Arabidopsis thaliana: one gene and its partner. The protein of the gene in region 2 interacts with the protein of the main gene of each other region in a pairwise test. Each region holds a gene or a part of one and is shown on either strand. Other genes may lie near its edges.

What was found. Proteins that work in one complex are often made in the same cells at the same time.
Region 1: the proteins of AT4G22360 (region 2) and AT5G59990 interact in a two-hybrid assay, tested with the Arabidopsis thaliana proteins (one large-scale study listed by BioGRID).

What each region holds. Positions count from the first base shown.
Region 1 is NC_003076.8:24,148,112-24,156,658, forward strand, and holds AT5G59990 (CCT motif family protein), read right to left. Parts: upstream 5,091-8,547; 5' UTR 4,974-5,090; coding exon 4,581-4,973; intron 4,322-4,580; coding exon 4,163-4,321; coding exon of another isoform or gene 4,151-4,162; exon of another isoform or gene 3,740-4,150; intron 3,269-3,739; coding exon 3,095-3,268; 3' UTR 2,823-3,094; downstream 1-2,822. Other genes in the region: GAF1 (Polymerase/histidinol phosphatase-like protein), read left to right, coding at 1-128, 209-1,467, 1,563-1,672.
Region 2 is NC_003075.7:11,803,047-11,812,099, reverse strand, and holds AT4G22360 (SWIB complex BAF60b domain-containing protein), read right to left. Parts: upstream 4,844-9,053; 5' UTR 4,290-4,843; coding exon 3,742-4,289; intron 3,437-3,741; coding exon 3,325-3,436; intron 3,236-3,324; coding exon 3,064-3,235; intron 2,976-3,063; coding exon 2,773-2,975; intron 2,563-2,772; coding exon 2,440-2,562; 3' UTR 2,401-2,439; intron 2,309-2,400; 3' UTR 1,983-2,308; downstream 1-1,982. Other genes in the region: AT4G22380 (Ribosomal protein L7Ae/L30e/S12e/Gadd45 family protein), read left to right, coding at 1-59; AT4G22370 (uncharacterized protein), read left to right, coding at 537-1,037, 1,137-1,248, 1,475-1,556, 1,641-1,692, 1,779-1,931; AT4G22350 (Ubiquitin C-terminal hydrolases superfamily protein), read left to right, coding at 5,161-5,514, 5,652-5,896, 6,174-6,258, 6,332-6,517, 6,611-6,778, 6,873-7,010, 7,380-7,551, 7,645-7,819 and 1 more.

The sequences.
Region 1 (8,547 bases), on a different chromosome or scaffold from region 2:
AATCTAATTATATCAAGTGGTGCTCCTTCAGTCACAGAACTTAGAGGTCCAAATGATGTCATAAATCTCATGTTCTTACTTGGACTCTCTGCTGAAAGAGCTAGAGCTGCCATTTCAAAAAATTGTAGGTATGTATCAAATTCGTCTAGCAATTGTGTTATTTGATGCTGCTAAGCGTCATTGAGAATGGATTTTAAATTGCTTTCAGGAATATGATAGCCAAGGTTTTAAAGAAAAAACGGTTTCACAAAGAAGCTGTCAGGGTTGAATTACTTTCTGCTGGTGATACTTTTAGCCTCGAACAGCCTCTGTCTGAAGATTGCATGAAATGGGATCGCCTTTCGAGCGGTGAAGGTGACATGCTTTTGGATGATCTTGCAAAGGCTTTTGATGCCACAAATGTTGTGGCGCACAAATCCTCGAAGGCGATTGATTTCACCTCTGTTCTTGATGGCTTGCCAAAACATGGTTTCCGGGTTAAGGATATTGTAGGAACTGAATCAGTGACTCAGCCTTCTGCAGCTAAGGTGATTGACACTCAGGTGCACAGTAGTAATCAAGTTTCTGAACTACGTATGGCCACAGCTTCATCTGATGATAACCTTCGGGAAATTGAAACCATAAGCCAAATTGACATGCTGATGTCTGAAGATGACAATAAGGTGGAACCTACTACAAATGTCCTCAAAGAAGAAGCATTTGCCCTAAGGAAATGCAGTGCCAGCCATGGCCAGGGGATTTTGGTGCAAAATCAGACGGCTACTCCCTTTACACTGACAAGATGTACAAAGTCAGAAGCAGCGTCGGATGTTAGCATGAATATTGAGTCGACTTCCGAAGGTGGATCAATGTCACCGTCAAAAAGCGATCATGGGATCCCACAAAGTCCTGTTGAAGTGAATAACATGGGAAATGCTGCTTTTGAAGAAGAAGCCTCAGTGGACGAAAACAGCAAAGAAAGAGCTACTACTGGTCATGCTAGTAATGATGAGATGCATATCACTGAGTCTGGACACCACGCATCCATTGATGATGAGAAGCATATCCCTGAGCCTGAACACCTCACATCCATTGCTGATGAGATGAAAATTGATTGTTCTTCGGAAGCAAATCACGACGAGTACATGGAGGTCACAATGGAAGACCAGATGCATGAAACAGGTGACAGTAAGATTATTCTTCCTAACTTATCCTCTGAGACTACCGATTTGCTAAGTGAATCAGGTAAATCTCTCAGTCCAGATGCGGTTGTGCAAGACCATGACGAAGCATCAAGACTAGAGTCCGATGAGACAAAGCTCGAGGAAGAGGCATCAGTTCCAAACCACAACACCTTTGAGATAACAATGGAAGACAATAAGGTCGAAGAGTTAACAATTGAAGACGAGAAGGTTGAAAAGACTGAAACCGAAGCTAGTCACCAAGCCCAAGTCCAATCCTCTGAAAATAACAATGACACAAAATCAGGTACGAGATCTAAGTTTCCTCATTTGCAAATCTAACCTAACACATAAGTTTGGAGTATAGATTTCAGTCTAATGTTATATCAATCCATAATGTAGGTAAGACGCAAGCTAAGAGGAGTAGAGTTCGTTTACCGCAACTAAGGCCTTTCAAGCCTTTTCTACTTCAATCAAGGTTCAAAAGGATCAGTAAAAAAAGAAAACATTGAAGAGCTTGATCATTCTTATAAGTACAAGTTTTGTCCATTAATTTATACCCACGCAAGTCTCGTGGTTTCATTTTTGAACCGATTATAAAATGGGGGAAAGAAAGAATCTAATTTATTCTCTAGAGTTGATTCTTTGTGTACTCGTGTTCAAGAAAAAGGCTTTTAGTTAAAATATTAAAAAGGAAAAAAAAAAGTTAAAAAGATTTAAGAGTGGAGGAGTCGGTAAATCTACCGCCGGCCGACAAAAGTCGGGGACAATGTCGCCGGAGGGCCTACATCTCCCTCCATAGCCATTGCTAAAGAAGAAAGACTGCTCTCTTTCCTTTTTCAAAACTACTTTATTTATAATCTAATTGAGAAGCATTATTCTTCACATTATTACTAATTACCTACTTGTGAGAAAAATTATTCTCTTATTACTAAAGATGCCTAACATTCAAATTATTTTCACTTTTAAATAAAAATAAATGATTTTTGTTACTGTTGGAAAATAATATAGTCTTACAATCAAAGTAACATTTTTTCTTGCAAAATATCAAAAGTGCTGAGAAACTTTTCCATAGCTTTTTTTTTTGGCAAAAATAATTGCTAGTATGTTTTCCTCTAGCTTTTTTTATATACTGACTTATGAGAATGAATGTATGGGTTGATTACTTTAAGTTAGTTTATTTGAGTGGAAGCTTCTTTGATATCTTAAGAATTCTTAAGGTATATAATATATGTTTACCTTTGGAGATTGCTAGTACTTAGCACGATGTGTAATCAACGTGAGAGTATTATGAAATCATCAAAGTAACATGGCCATGTGTTCATTATATGTTTTTCAATGCTAAAAGTTATCATCTTTGTACTTTCTAAATACTTTTGTAAATCAAGTTGGTAAAAGAAAAATCAGACCATTAAGGAACATACTAAACTATACATTAACTATTTAAGGGTCCATATACATTAACGATGTGTAATCAATTTGTTTTAGTTGGAGTTCGATATTTTTAATTGTTTTATGTATATCGTTTGCAACTCACTTATGGACTACCGAATTTAAATGACGGATCTAATACGGCGACGACGTTTTATCTCAAATCCACTTTGTTCTCAATAGGTGAATATCGTTTTGTTTTGCCTTTAACCTATCTAAAACCCCATTTATCTCACTTATAGAACTCAGTGCCATGCTAAGACAATTGCAATCGTCAATTGACAAAGTGGCATATACCACTCATGCAGAATTGTATGGCCAGTGAAAAAGGATTAGTTTGCAAATATCTCAGATCAAAAATACAAGATATGTTATTCTTATATACAAAGATAACACAAAACCTACACATGAGTTTAGCAACATGGGGAAATCTTTTAAACCAAAACAAATTAAAGTGCCATATATAAACATATATAAGAAAAACAAACATAGAAGAGATTAAATTAGTTGAGGAAGTGATTAGCAGAGAAAGAATCAAGAAAAGATGCCCACGTGTCGACATCTCCTACCACGGCTTCCATAACATCAACTTGTTCTTGTTGTGAGATCTCATCATTTCTTGCAAATCTCCCTCTTATTCTTGGCCTACTGTCCGCTAATGTCTTCCTGCATTCGTACTAATAGAAAGATAAAAGATTATTATTAAACCTGTCCCAAAGTATTGTGATAGTTTTTAGATCATTCACAAGTCAAAACTTGTCGGTCAAAAAATTATAACGCGAGCAGAAATATCTCATTGAGATACGGTTTGAATATGTTAGTACATGAATACTCCAATCCGATCTTTAATTAGCAATGAAATATATTTGTGGACCTTCTTGTAAGAAAAAACTAATGGAGAAAAAAACTTGTAGCAACCTTGGAGCTTGATGTGTCTATCTCAAAGGATTCCTTAGACCCAAATATGATGTGACAGAACATTAATTCTCGTTCACATACTCATATATATCAGATGAAATTCTATTTATGTTTGAAGATAAGATTGAAAAGAAAAATTCAATGTTACTTTTTAGTGATAAGAGTGATTGATATGATACATTGAGCCTGTTTTTTTTTTTTTTTTTGGTCAACGAACCATTTAGTTTTGTATTAAATGTGAAAAAAAAACAGTATTACTAAGAAAAGATATCTTATACATTTGATTTTAAGAAAATAGACATTTATATATGCTCTTGTGTATGAAATTATACAGAAATCATTATTAGTTGATTAATGAAGAAATTTATAGGAAATTGTATGCTTGATTAGAAAATGGTTGCATCAATATATGTGAAGGTGCATGTCACTGTTCCATACAACTACTGTACATGTCAAGTCCTCAAAAGTTTTCCATGCGACACATATATACACATGTTGAATATATAATATAGGTTAGGTGTACATGGACTCTATGTGATGAAGAACAATATGAATCAAATGATAAATTCTTATATGTTAAAATAAGATATAAGAATTTATGCTAACAAACAGTTTAGAACAAAGAAACAACTGTAAAACATTTATAAAATTACCTTAATCCTCTTGTTGAAATTCCTAAGGTTTCGTTTGCTACGATATTTCTCGATCTTTTCTTTCTTCTCCTCAGGACTATACTTGTAGGCTTTGCTCATTCCTTCTATTATTGCATTGCTCTCACTCCACACCGTACTGCTCTCTCTTCTGCTACTCCTCTACACACATACCAAAACAGTGTCGTCTTATGTTATGATAGAATTATTATTATTTTCAAATAAAACCCCAAATTTTAGTATGTTTAGATAATTTATTTGTGTTTTGGTGTTTTCATTTTACACTCTTGCAAAACCATAAAACAAACCAACAATATAATGTTTCGTTTTATAAAATGTGAAAAATTTCATACGTAAACGAAAACATAAAAGTTAACGTTTGAAATCTCGAAACTGCAAGTGTGTATATAATATTACTTACGGGTAGATCTCCGGCGCTAAGGGCCCGTCTCACTGGCCCATCATCATCGTTAACGAAATCATGGGCCGCTGTGTAATTACCGGAAAAGCCATTATGGCTACTAACACTCCTCTGCATAACAAGACTCTCTCCGCCACTCCCCATAGAGCTTGGCGAGTCGCAGCTGCTGCTTCCACCACCACCGTTCATGCCGGAATCAAAGTAACCGAACCCTGAAACCGCCTCGGCCGCGTATAGAGAGTTTTGGCTCATCATAAGAAGCGCCAAAGGCGGAGGCGGGAACTGATGATGATGATGATCAAGCAGCTGAGGAGGAGCCACTATGTCGTCGGAGTATAGAAAACATGGACAGTTGTCGCCGGAGGTTATAGAAGTGCTGACGTGTCCACACATGGTGGGTTTTAGTTTATTGTGGTGTTTATGTGTCTTTGTGTGTTTGTTTATGTGTGTGTGTGTGAGTGAGTGAAACTCGAAGTGGTTTGGTTTCTATTTAACAGAGGAAGGACTGATGCTGACGTCATTAATCGTCATCTGAAGTCAACTGACTTAACCGTTGACTTCTTTTGACTGACTAGGAAAAAAGGAATCTTTAGGTATAAAAAGAGTTGCCTTTCGTTTTCAGGTCGCTTCTATCTCACTCTCACCCGTTATTCTTCAAACGACATATATTACACGAAATTGAATCCGACATGTATTATACGAAGGTGAATTTGGATAGTTGAACAAAAATGATAATTATTTTTTCATTTAGGTTTAAAAATGTTTTCATTAAAAATAGAACTACTACTAAAAACAAAAATTCAAATATACTTACTTATATATAGGTTACTGATTAATATGCTATCAATTATAAATACAGAGGAAGAAAGCTAGTGACAAATAATTACTAATTATAACCAAGTGTTGTTAATTCAATTAGTAAAAACCCTAGACGAAACTTAGAGATCGCCAGTTCGAATGACGTTTAGAACAAAAGTAATATTATATGCTGTAGTTTCGGGTACGGAGGGATTACGGGTTTCAGTCCAAAACCTCTTGGTATTCAAAAAAAAAAATACTAATTATATTGAATTTCAAAAAAATTGTTATTATATTGAATTTTATAATTAGTAAACTCTTTCTTTTTTTTCAATCTCTTTAACACATTTACGTTTCAAACTAAATGGCGTTATAACATTTTTTAATGTATTAAGAATTTCACAACGATAATTGTTGTAAAATGGAAGGCATAATCATTTCTTGAAACAGTAAATTTACTGATATTTTCGTAAGCAATTGTGTTTTAACTTCAAGTCCTTGACGAAAAAAAATATACAATTGTGTTTTAAAATAGTAGATAGATAACATCTCGTGCAACATTCATAAATCATAACAGCAAAAGAACAATGTAAAGAAAAATAAAATAAAATAAAGGACACGACTTAGCTTTTTAGCTCGAATTGTATAGGAGAGACAAAAAGATGGTTAAAAGCATTATTTCACGCAAACCCATGTGAGCAGCATACAAATCTACTTTTTTGCCTAATTAATCATTAACTTAATCAACAGTAATAATTAATTAAGCTCAGATACTTGATTGCTTTGGTTATGTTCACATTAAACGGGTGTTTAGTCCGGTCCGGATAATTAACCAGACAAGACACGATAGTACTGCTCTGTATATGAATTGTATATCTGTTCCAATCCATGATTAGTCAGGTTAATTAGCCAGAATTTTTTGTTTGGAATCAAATCGATTTAGGTAACATATCGAGAGAATATCTCAAACGAGTTATACATAGCTACCCCTACGGTAAAGTATATAAATATTGTTTTTTTTTATAGATATTTTGTTTACGATTAGTTACATTCCAAGAACGAAATTCGAATAGTAGGATCACTGCATATATACCAATATATTGTAGGAACACGTTGTAGTCAGTCACTAAATTGGCCTACTCATCATCATCATCATACATAATACATAATCACTCATTTAAGAACAAAACAACTTATAATTTCCTGTTTAAGCCTCACTCCATAATGAGGATACATAATATCAACCCAACTCGTGGTGTTTGTTTAGTAGAAAAATTAACCCACATATCACATTATTACTACTAGATGATATTGATTATATTTATCTAATTCAGTCCAATCCAAGTTTAAACTAAAATGATTATATATCTATATGTATCCAAAATATTTCATTTGGATGATGGTAACAAACCGAACCAAAAATGAAAAATCAAATTTGTTACATCTAAAACCTAAATTTGAACCAAAATTAACAAAAGTGCACTAACTTAGATAGTCTTCCTCCTGAAATGTGTATACAATCTTCCCTTGTATTAGGGGAAATGATTGTTCTTCTCCATTACATTCTATATATACAATATGGGTCCGTCGATAAATTTATTTGAAGAATTTTTTCTCGTCGATATCACTTCTCTAAGCCAAATATATAATTTTATTTTATTTATGGGGTACGAAAGCATCTTTTTCACTTAAGAGGATCGGAATGTAGGTCCATTAGAATCAACGAAATAAAAATTAGTTATATTTTTTTTCTTTGATTAACACAAACTTTCATTTTTTATGCGCCGGAAACTAGAGCATGTAAATTAGTCTCCTCTAAACAGGTCAATTAGTAGGAAGAGAGCTGTAAATCTCATTTTGAGAGAGTATTTTCAAACAACACTAAACCATCATCTATTGGGATTATCTATAGTTTTTTTTTATCGATTACTCTTCTTTTTATCGTCAACGTACAAACATTAATGTCGATTTGTGTTTGTTCCGTATCCACCACTCTTATTGTAATTTCTAAATATACTAGCTGTGTTTTGCAAACATTTTTTAGGGAACGTTGAAGACATTTCAAAACTTAAAACAAAGTTGCCCCACATAATGTAGAGACATAAATAATAATTCGCAATCGTTACGAGGACATAGGATCTCGATTCCAACAGTGGATAGATGTACTATGGGACTAATTAGAAAGACATTTTGTGTATCCTTAAGGGCAAAATAGCCACAAGTTGATGGGAAAGGTCATGCAAAAGCAAAATCTATAGATCAATCGATGGTAACGAAGACTTTTTCTATTTGGTGGTAAACTTTGTAGCATAATGTACCAAAAACAAAACGTTTCATGCTATGGTTGGTTCATAACTAGTTTCGAGTTTTAACGATCCAATAAGAATTGTTCTTTTTGTTTTTAATAAATAGTGTTTTTGTTTTTGCATTTCTTACCACCACTGGAGCAAATTATTGGTTTTATACTTTCGCAAGTCTCTCAGTAACCCACTTTGGTTATTTGCACACAACAATTATATACCTAGTTGTAGTTTCAAGAAGGTCAACGGTTCATGAAAACGATGATAGAATAGGGGAGATATATATTTTAGTATTTATTCCTATTACTAATGAAATTATATAAATAAATATAAGTAATACTATAAAATGAACTTAAAACTGAAATTAATATAATCGTGTGAAAACGTTACTACTACTACTACATTTGGTGAAAATATGAATTTGCATTTTGACTTTATAGCATGAATTCATACATAAACAACGTATAGTATGCATACAAAACTTTTTCATGGTATTATGCGAGATGTTTGATTTTACAATATATTAATGGCAATATGCAAATAATATAGTCCAAGCCTATAGAAAGCAATGATAATAGCATAAATGTAGGCAATGAGTACACAAAGAGTTTATGATCAAAAGAAATGAAATGTGTAGGGTTACTTGTTCTTGGTTGAAAGAAAAGTATGTTCCATACAAATCAAAGAAAGACGGTGTGATTTAGATGTTTTTAAGTGATCCCATCATTTTGTTTTATTGTTTTCTCTATTCTTTTTAAATTGTTAATTAGGACTCGTGCATGTGTTTCTATGCGTTTGTCCAATCTTCTGGACAAGAGAAAAAGGTCAACAAGCACAATAGTTTCTCCACCATTTTCACATATTCTCCA
Region 2 (9,053 bases):
GCCAGTTGAAATCGCAGATTCAGCATCTCAAGGATGCAATTGAGAAGCTCCTGATCTAAGGATTTCTGCTCAGTATGAAGAGTCTCTGCAATGTGGAATGGCTCTGACTGAAGTTAGTTTGTGTGATTTACCTATTTGAAGAATGTATTGTGACTGGTGTTAATGCTTAGTATGTGGATCATCATCGCTCATTTGTACAATTGAGTTTCTTAGATTTTTATTTTGGTGCTTGCCAAGCACTGCTTGGTTTGTATTGAGACATAACAGGTAAAGAGCCGTCATGGTTCTTTAACTGTCTATTTATTACACTAACGATCTATCCTTAAGTCCCATTACGAAAAAATCGAAAATTATTCTTATCTTCCAACACTTGCTACATTTTTCATCGCTTTGCTTTGTCCACAAACAAACACATTCTTTTATTCGTTTGTTCCAGACTTCACTTATACAAATGAAAATCTATGTTCTTCACAAAGCTTTTTATAAAGTATTGCAATCTTATGTAGTCAGCAAAACCATCCTCCATTTTACAAGCAATGGCATCCTCATATATGTCAATTACGCAAACAATGTTTTCATCTAAACTATGTTCAGGGATAAATAGCTTTAGCTCATGCTCAATTTACACGAAGAATTCTCGCGTGTCAATTCGAAAGGGTTCTACCAATACGAGTTTTCATCTGGATCTATCACACTCACATCGAAGCACTTTGAAGCATTACACAAGGGTAAGAAAATCGGAATCAGATTGGGAAGAGAGCATAGATGAAGAGAAATCAGATCAGGAAGAGAGCGAAGATGAAGAGAATGACGATAAGAAGGAAGACTATCGAGCGAAGGAGACAATTCTAAAACTATACACTGATATCAAGGACCGAAACATCATGGAGAAAGACTATCGGGCGGAGGAGACAGTTCTAAAACTATATTCCGATATCAAGGACCGAAACATCGAAGGAATTTCAGAAGTTATTGGAGATGAATGCCAATTCTTTTCCAACTTTTTATCTAAGTATCGACTCTTGCAAGGGAAGAAGGTTAGCATATGTTGTAATGGTAACAATAACTTTTCTTTCACAAATCTTTATTTTTGAAATCCTTATGTTATAAGGGTAAATATGGTTTTATACATGCAGCAAGTTATGGCTTTCTTCTACTGGTTGATCATGAAGCTGGGAAAGGATATCAAGATTATTGTTAAACCAACGTTCAAAGATGGCATGACCGTTGGAGTTCAATGGCAACTCGGTTAGTCCCCTAGTCCCTATATCCTAATCCGAATAACTGATAACCTTATACGCAACCGATCCTATTTGGGTCAGTCAAGGAAACCGGAAAGTCAAAACCTTCAAACACTCCAGAATACCAAACCGGAATAAGCCTTCCTTTCACCAGACCAGGATCAAGACCAAATAAAAATTGACAAATCCAATTGAAATGATTGTTCTCATGACGGTTTACCTGTAATGTGCAGAATGTGACAAGTCACACATCCAATTGGGGAAGGGATTCAGTTTCCACATTTGCCATATGTACCAGGGAAAGCTATTGATAAAGTCAGTATTCGTTCCACTCTAAATTCAGTTATCATAACAATTATAACCCGTGAATCATGACCATATTTAAACCAAACAATGCAGGAATGTGGAGATGTTCATGGAACCAATTTTCCACATAGAGCACCTAAGACTAGTGAGTCTGTCATGTTCATAAGATTTATGTCATCATGTGATTCACTTACTTACCTATTGTGGTTTCTCATTTGTCTTCTGATGCAGAGAACTATGGCGTTTGCAGTGAGTATTGCTGAGAAGATAGTCACTTTCTTGAGACAAGCAGAAAACACAAGGAGACAAGCAATGGCACTCCTGCTACTTGTTCTTCTGCTGCTTGCTGCAGCCGCTTTCTACGTCACACGTCTGAGATTCTGATAAAAACACAGCAAATAACATGGAAGATAGCAGGAAAAAAAACCATAGCATAGGGAATAAGATTTTTCTATCAGTAGGATGCAAATATTTCCAACAGGGAAAACATAGTTAAACACATGAGTTTTTTTTTCCTAAGACATTCATGGGTGAATGGCGTTTAATACAAAACATCTGCGCCGTTTCACCCTTAACACTAGAGTTTCGGTACAATACTAAATACAACATCAACCTAAGCATGTCGATACACAACCAACTAAAACAAAGAACCCAACGGAAGATTAAAATAGCATTAAAGGAAGTTAAAAGTGAAAAGGATCTTTTCTTCCCTATCAGAGTTCTACAGCAAGGAGTCATAAGTAGGTTCCCTAGATACACACCTGCAAGAGAGTTGTGATACAGAAGTCAATTACCATATTTGGACAATGCTGATATATAAGTATCATAATCTGTTAAATCAAACTTCACTTACACTAGTAGTTCCTAGTTAATTAAGTCAGACCAGAAGATATCACGACTGCTTGTACATATGGCGCCTCAGCATCTCATTTATCCCCACAGCTGAAATGCTTTCACATCCAAGAAGATCTCGGAGCTTTTCATCACACTGAATAGCCATTGGATTTACTGGGTCCTGAAAGAAAATTGAAAAGCAGAATAAACAAATCTTAATTTTCTTGTTTATGGCCATTCACTATGCTCTATAACATAAAGTTATGTGAAATCCTATACTGTAAATTATCTTATAGAGTAAACCACAATACCAGCTTTAGTTAGCAGCAAACAGGAAAAAAATTCGAAGCAATAAGGAGAAACCAGAGGATTTCAAGATTAAAATCATTACCTCTAAATTGTTGAGTTTTATGTATTCCCAAACACGGCGAATAATCTCTTCGTCTGCCATCTCCGTCTCACCAGTGCCAAAGAACTTACCAAGTGGCTCAGATAATGTAACAGTTGAACTAATAGCAGTTGAACTAATAGGCTCGGTGGTCTCAGTCTTAGTCTCCACCTCAGTTTTTGCCTTTTTTGCTTGACCAGAGTCCTCTGCCAAAAGTGACTCAAACAGTCAGTAACCTTGAACAAACCAAGCACAGTTGGAACTCAGCAAAAAACGCTTGTGTTTAACCATTACTTGATGGATCAAGCGGGAGAATATGCTTAGCAAGCAACTTATTCATCTTGAACATGTCAGTGCAATCAGTCTCAAAAACCACACGCAACGCATCATCACAGATGATCTTCCGCTTGTTACTCGGGTCTTGAAGGTTATTCTTCCTTATATAAGCCCACAATTGCCTCACAATCTAAAACCAAAAGCCAAACACAGCAACACATAAATAACAACCACAATTGCTTATACACATTATAATCATAAATGAAAGACAATGATAACCTCAGTTCTAGGAAGAGCAGGTTCACCAACAACTACTTCAAGTTCTGGAGAAACCCTACAGACTTTGTTTAGTCCTCCAGGACCACCCTTTCTTTTAGTTCCAGCCGGAGCACTGCAAAGGAAAAGTTGACAAATTTCGTTGATGTGCCAAATTTAGGTAGATCAGAAAGAAATAATCACACTATAATAGAACGTTGTATGAATCAATGTGCTAAAAATATCACAGGATGATAATTCTAAACATGAGCATGTAAAACCTAAAAACCCGTAAATGAACAAAATTGACAAAAGATTTAGACATTCCTAAAATGGAAAATCATGTTTTCCATGAAAGTAGCAAAAGCCCTAAATTACTGAAATTGGAACAACCTTGAGCAAAATTACGTACCAACATTTGAAATATGTTGCAAACCCTACCTTTCTTTTGGGGCTTGATTAACAGATAGAGAAGCATTCCCGCCATGTGAGAGCATCACAGAGGATTGTTGTTGTCGCGGAGACTGCTGCTGATGCTGGTGCTGTTGCGGCGGCATGTAAACCGGATAAGGCTGCCGGAAATTTAGGTCATAAGAGTGATAAGGAGGCTGAAGAGCGAAATGTGAAGGATATTGTTGTGATTGAGAAGAAACAGAGAATTGCGAAGGATGGCTAAGTGTGAAATGCCCTTTCGCCATCGGAGGAACATTGACGCCGGAATGCAAATTCTGCTGCTGGTGAGAAGACGGCGGAGGAGGAGGGTGAGATTGTTGTACGGATGAAGCGGAGGCGACGGAGGCAGAAGGGTTTTGGTGAGCACGGAGGAGGATATTGATCTGATCTCTGATGAAAGTCGTCTTCTCCGTGAGGTCTAACCCTAACTTAGCTTCAAGCTGCTGAACAATACTGCTTAACGATGTGAGAGAGCTAGGGTCGGATTGTCGAAGCAAAGTCTCGACTCCTTTCGCTAGATCCTGGTCCGACACCATTGTCGAGAGAGAATTTCAAAGCTTTTTTTTTCATACACACAAAAAAAAAAACTTTTTAAGGAGAAAAAAAAAAACAAATACCCCACAAAAGAAAAAGAAAAAAAGACAACAAATTCTCTATATCTTTCTCTCTCTTATCCTCTTCTCTAATCTTGTCTCTTTCTCTCTCTCCTTCTTCGTCTCTGTCTCTTTATAACTATTTGGAAAGACGAATATGCCCTTCAGGGTTGGTTAGATTTATCAAATGATGACAAATGTCGGTGTTGCCCTTATGAGTCATGGTATCTATGGCTTGTAGGTAGAGGGTGTTGTCGTATTTTGGCTAATCTATTTGCTTTTTTACTTCTTCGCCAGCTGGCTTTAACTTCAGAACTCATCTCTTTACTCGTGGAATGTCGAATACGTCCTTGTAGATTTTCACGCGTTTATAGTTTGCTTCGAGAAGCTTGAGGGTATTAATGGTTATTCGATAAGTATCGGATCGTGAATACAGATCAATTACTGAATACTGCTGACAGAAGTAATATAAATGGAACAGATTGTTATTGGGCTATAACAGTGTGGCCCAATAATAAATATTCGGCCTTTTAACCGAGTTAATCAATCTGGGTGAGACTTGAGTCGGCTCTTGAAGCTTTAATAGGTTGTTTGTTTAACGTCTGCGTTGTGGCGGATTTTGAAGTTTCTCGAGAAAATTGGGAACGAGAGATAAGTTCGAGTAGATTCGCGACTGTCGACGCTTCTGATTTGAAGTATTTGGCGTTTTTTGGAAGAGTTCATTGCTTCTTTGGTTGAGGATTCTTCGTGAATCGCTGGGATTTTGTGTTCTAAGGTTTTTGAAGCAAGCTTTAGCTTAGGGAAAATTTTGAGAATGAAAGGTGAAAGAGAAGTGAAGAATGGTGTTTCTGAGGAAGAGAGAGAGGTGAAGAGGAAGAGAGTGATGGAACGGTCTGATTCGCCACCTCCACCACTAGGTTTCAACAATCCTCTTTTGCCGTTTGCTAATGCTTACGATGATGATAATAACCAGCAGAATAAATCGCAAACTCGTTGTAATGTAGTTGCGAAAGGAGAGGGAAATGGTAACAAAGTGAAAGGAGAAGCTCAAGTAGAGGTCGATGACGACGAAGATGATGATGATGATGCTTCGAAGGGGAGAGGAAAGCATTCACGCCATGTTGAAGTTCGTCGTGATTGTCCTTATCTTGATACTGTTAATCGTCAGGTATATCATTGACCAATTTCTTGTGTTTGGTACTTGTAATGTATCTAATCTATGGTGGATCTTTAAGCTTCTGCTAGGTTCATTATATTGCTGGTTTGAGATTAGCGTTTAAACTCATATCTTATGGTTGATTTCAGGTGTTGGATTTTGATTTCGAGAGGTTTTGCTCTGTCTCATTGTCAAATCTGAATGTGTATGCGTGTCTTGTTTGTGGGAAGTACTTTCAAGGAAGAAGCCAGAAGTCTCATGCTTATACACATAGCTTGGAAGCAGGACACCACGTTTACATCAATCTTCTGACAGAGAAGGTTTATTGTCTTCCTGATAGTTACGAGATCAATGACCCTTCTTTGGATGACATTCGCCATGTTTTAAACCCAAGGTATATTAGATCTTGTGACTAACTACATCATAGTTCTTACTGCATTTTGGGTATTGATTTGTGAACATGTGAGCCTTTGCACGTAGTTAACAACAACAAAATTGCTTTGACTATTATCTCAATCAGTTTCTTCTTACTAGTTCTCTGTATCATCTACCATCTATTTATATTTTTTTGCATGATAGCTTGAACATATTACTCTTCTTTCATGTTTTGTCAATTTTTCTTTGATTTTTCAGTTCCTTTGTATGAAGGCTTCGGTGCTATCCATTTACAGGTTTAGTAGAGCACAAGTAAACGAGCTTGACAAGAATAGGCAGTGGTCTAGGGCTCTTGATGGCTCCGACTATCTTCCAGGAATGGTAATCCTTTCTCTTTGATTACACTTGATCTTGAAATTAATGTCTCCTAAAGGTTAAGCTTGTAAATATGTAGGTGGGGTTGAACAACATACAAAAGACAGAGTTTGTGAATGTTACAATCCAGTCGTTGATGAGAGTTACTCCTCTAAGGAATTTCTTCCTCATTCCTGAAAATTATCAGCACTGCAAGTCTCCTCTTGGTCACCGTTTTGGGGAACTAACTCGCAAGATTTGGCATGCTCGAAACTTTAAAGGACAAGTCTGACTCAATTTATGCCTCTCACTTTTTTAGTTTTTGTTATGCACTCACCTATTGAGGACCTCGCTAATTTAAGTTACCTTGCATCAACAGGTGAGTCCACATGAGTTCTTGCAAGCTGTCATGAAAGCCAGCAAGAAACGCTTTAGGATTGGCCAACAATCAGATCCAGTAGAGTTTATGTCGTGGCTCCTCAACACTTTGCACATGGATCTTAGAACTTCAAAGGACGCTAGCAGTATCATCCACAAGTGCTTCCAGGTATGTGTCCGTCCTTTGAAATGTCAACATAATGCAGTTTGATATAATTTCTTACAAAAAAGCTGTATCTCATGTAACCTGTTAACCATTACAGGGTGAGTTGGAGGTTGTGAAAGAGTATCAAGGCAATGAAAACAAAGAAATCTCCAGGATGCCGTTTCTGATGCTTGGGCTAGATTTGCCACCGCCTCCTCTTTTCAAAGATGTCATGGAGAAAAACATTATTCCGCAGGTATATGGCTATTTCAAATCTTGAAAGTCTTGCTACTTTGTGCCATTAAAAAAATGCATTTCAGAAAAATGATAACGTGGAGTGCTAGAAAACTTATGATTCTCAATATACAGCTACATAAATAATGTCACATTTGGTTGAGATACAATTAAGGGATTCTTAAATAGTGCCATTGCCAATTTAATGTCCTGGAGTAAACTTTCTTTTTCGAATCTAGTTCATGACTTGCGAAAGTGTAGAATTCTCTGACTCATTGGTTGTTTGGAGCTCCTGTAGCCTTTATGGCTTGCTACCTCGTATATGCGTCTTAGAGTGTTTAGTTTGCAAAGTGAGGTTAGTGGAATCTAATTTCTTTGATTTTTGGGTCAGGTTGCTCTATTCGATTTATTGAAGAAGTTTGATGGAGAAACGGTGACAGAGGTGGTTCGGCCTAAGCTGGCCAGAATGAGATACCGTGTAATCAAATCTCCTCGTTACTTGATGTTCCATATGGTTCGGTTCAAGAAGAATAACTTCTTCAAAGAGAAGAACCCTACATTGGGTGAGTCTGTTTGAAATTTTTGTGACGTTAATGCTGTATAAGGATCCCCTAATACCTGGTTAATTTGATACAATTTCTTTTTCTATGCCACAGTTAACTTCCCAGTGAAGGACATGGAGCTGAGGGATTACATACCATCATTGCCTAGAGCACCAGAAGGGGAGAATGTGTGTTCAAAGTATAATCTAATCGCTAACATTGTACATGATGGTAAGCCTGAGGACGGGTACTTCAGAGTCTTTGTGCAGCGCAAGTCACAAGAACTATGGTAAGCTTTCTCAATCATTAACTATTATTGTGTTTCATGTTCACAAATGCATGATCTAGATCTGTGCATAAGAAAGATATAAATTCATTTGGGGGATAATGTCCATTGCAGGTACGAGATGCAGGATCTTCATGTTGCAGAGACACTTCCCCAGATGGTAGAACTATCGGAAGCATACATGCAGATATATGAGCAGCAGGAAGAATAGAGCCCTGGAAAGAAACTGACTTCATTTGGTTTAAGAGTAAAAGTGACCAGTTTTATCTTGGAATGAGATTAGAGATTTGTTTCACAACTCTTTTGGAAAAAGATTTTTGGACCCCTTTAAAGGATAGAGAGCCTGTTGTATCATAGTGAAAAACCTTTGGTAAAAAAACACATATATGAGTTTTGGGAAGAGCTTTTGGTAAAAACTAAAAACGCATATTGAAAGAAAGCGACCTCTTCAAATTCTCAAACTTTTGAAATTTTGTAGTAAAAAACACATGTGAGTTCCCTTAATATAGAAGTGGCTGTTTTTCGAATTTATTTGTAACAATGAAAGAGGAATAGAATCTAATTCACTATCTCTACTTTTGGCGATTCTATTCTATTCCATCGTCCAAAAAAAGAATTGATTCTTTTTTTGTTTTCATTAACCAATTCTGGAAGATTATGAGCATTGAACATAACAAGGTAACAATTTGCAACTTTGTAGAAAAGAGTTCATAATATTCTCGAATTTTTAATTGTCATTTCAAGTTAATATAGAGGAGGACCTTTACCTTTAATTAAAATATTATATCCCTTTATTAATTGTGGCTTCTAGAATCAAAAGTTAAAAGATTCGAGAAATAAGGAGAATCATTTTCGTCTTCTACTTAGTTTTCTTCAACTCGATTTCTCTGCTCCATCTTCTTCCTCGTCTTCTCATTCTCTCTCGCTCTGGCACAGTAGAAACTGAGCTCACGAAAGCAGGTTTCACGTCTCTTCCTTATTTACCTCATTCCTGAATCATATGTACATAGTTTTGTTTAGATATGTGTTTCGTCTCCTCAATCCTCAGATCTCCACGAGAAACTAGTATTGGTTCCTCTTTGTTATTCTCCTTAGCTCGTGTGATTACTGACACCATTAGTGAAGATTTCCAGTATTTCCATAAGTATTTCGGCTGCTTAAATTTGGGTTTTATTCCCGATTTTACTCGTATTTGTCCCATTTTTCCTGTTTAATTGTATTTCTCTGTGAATCACTT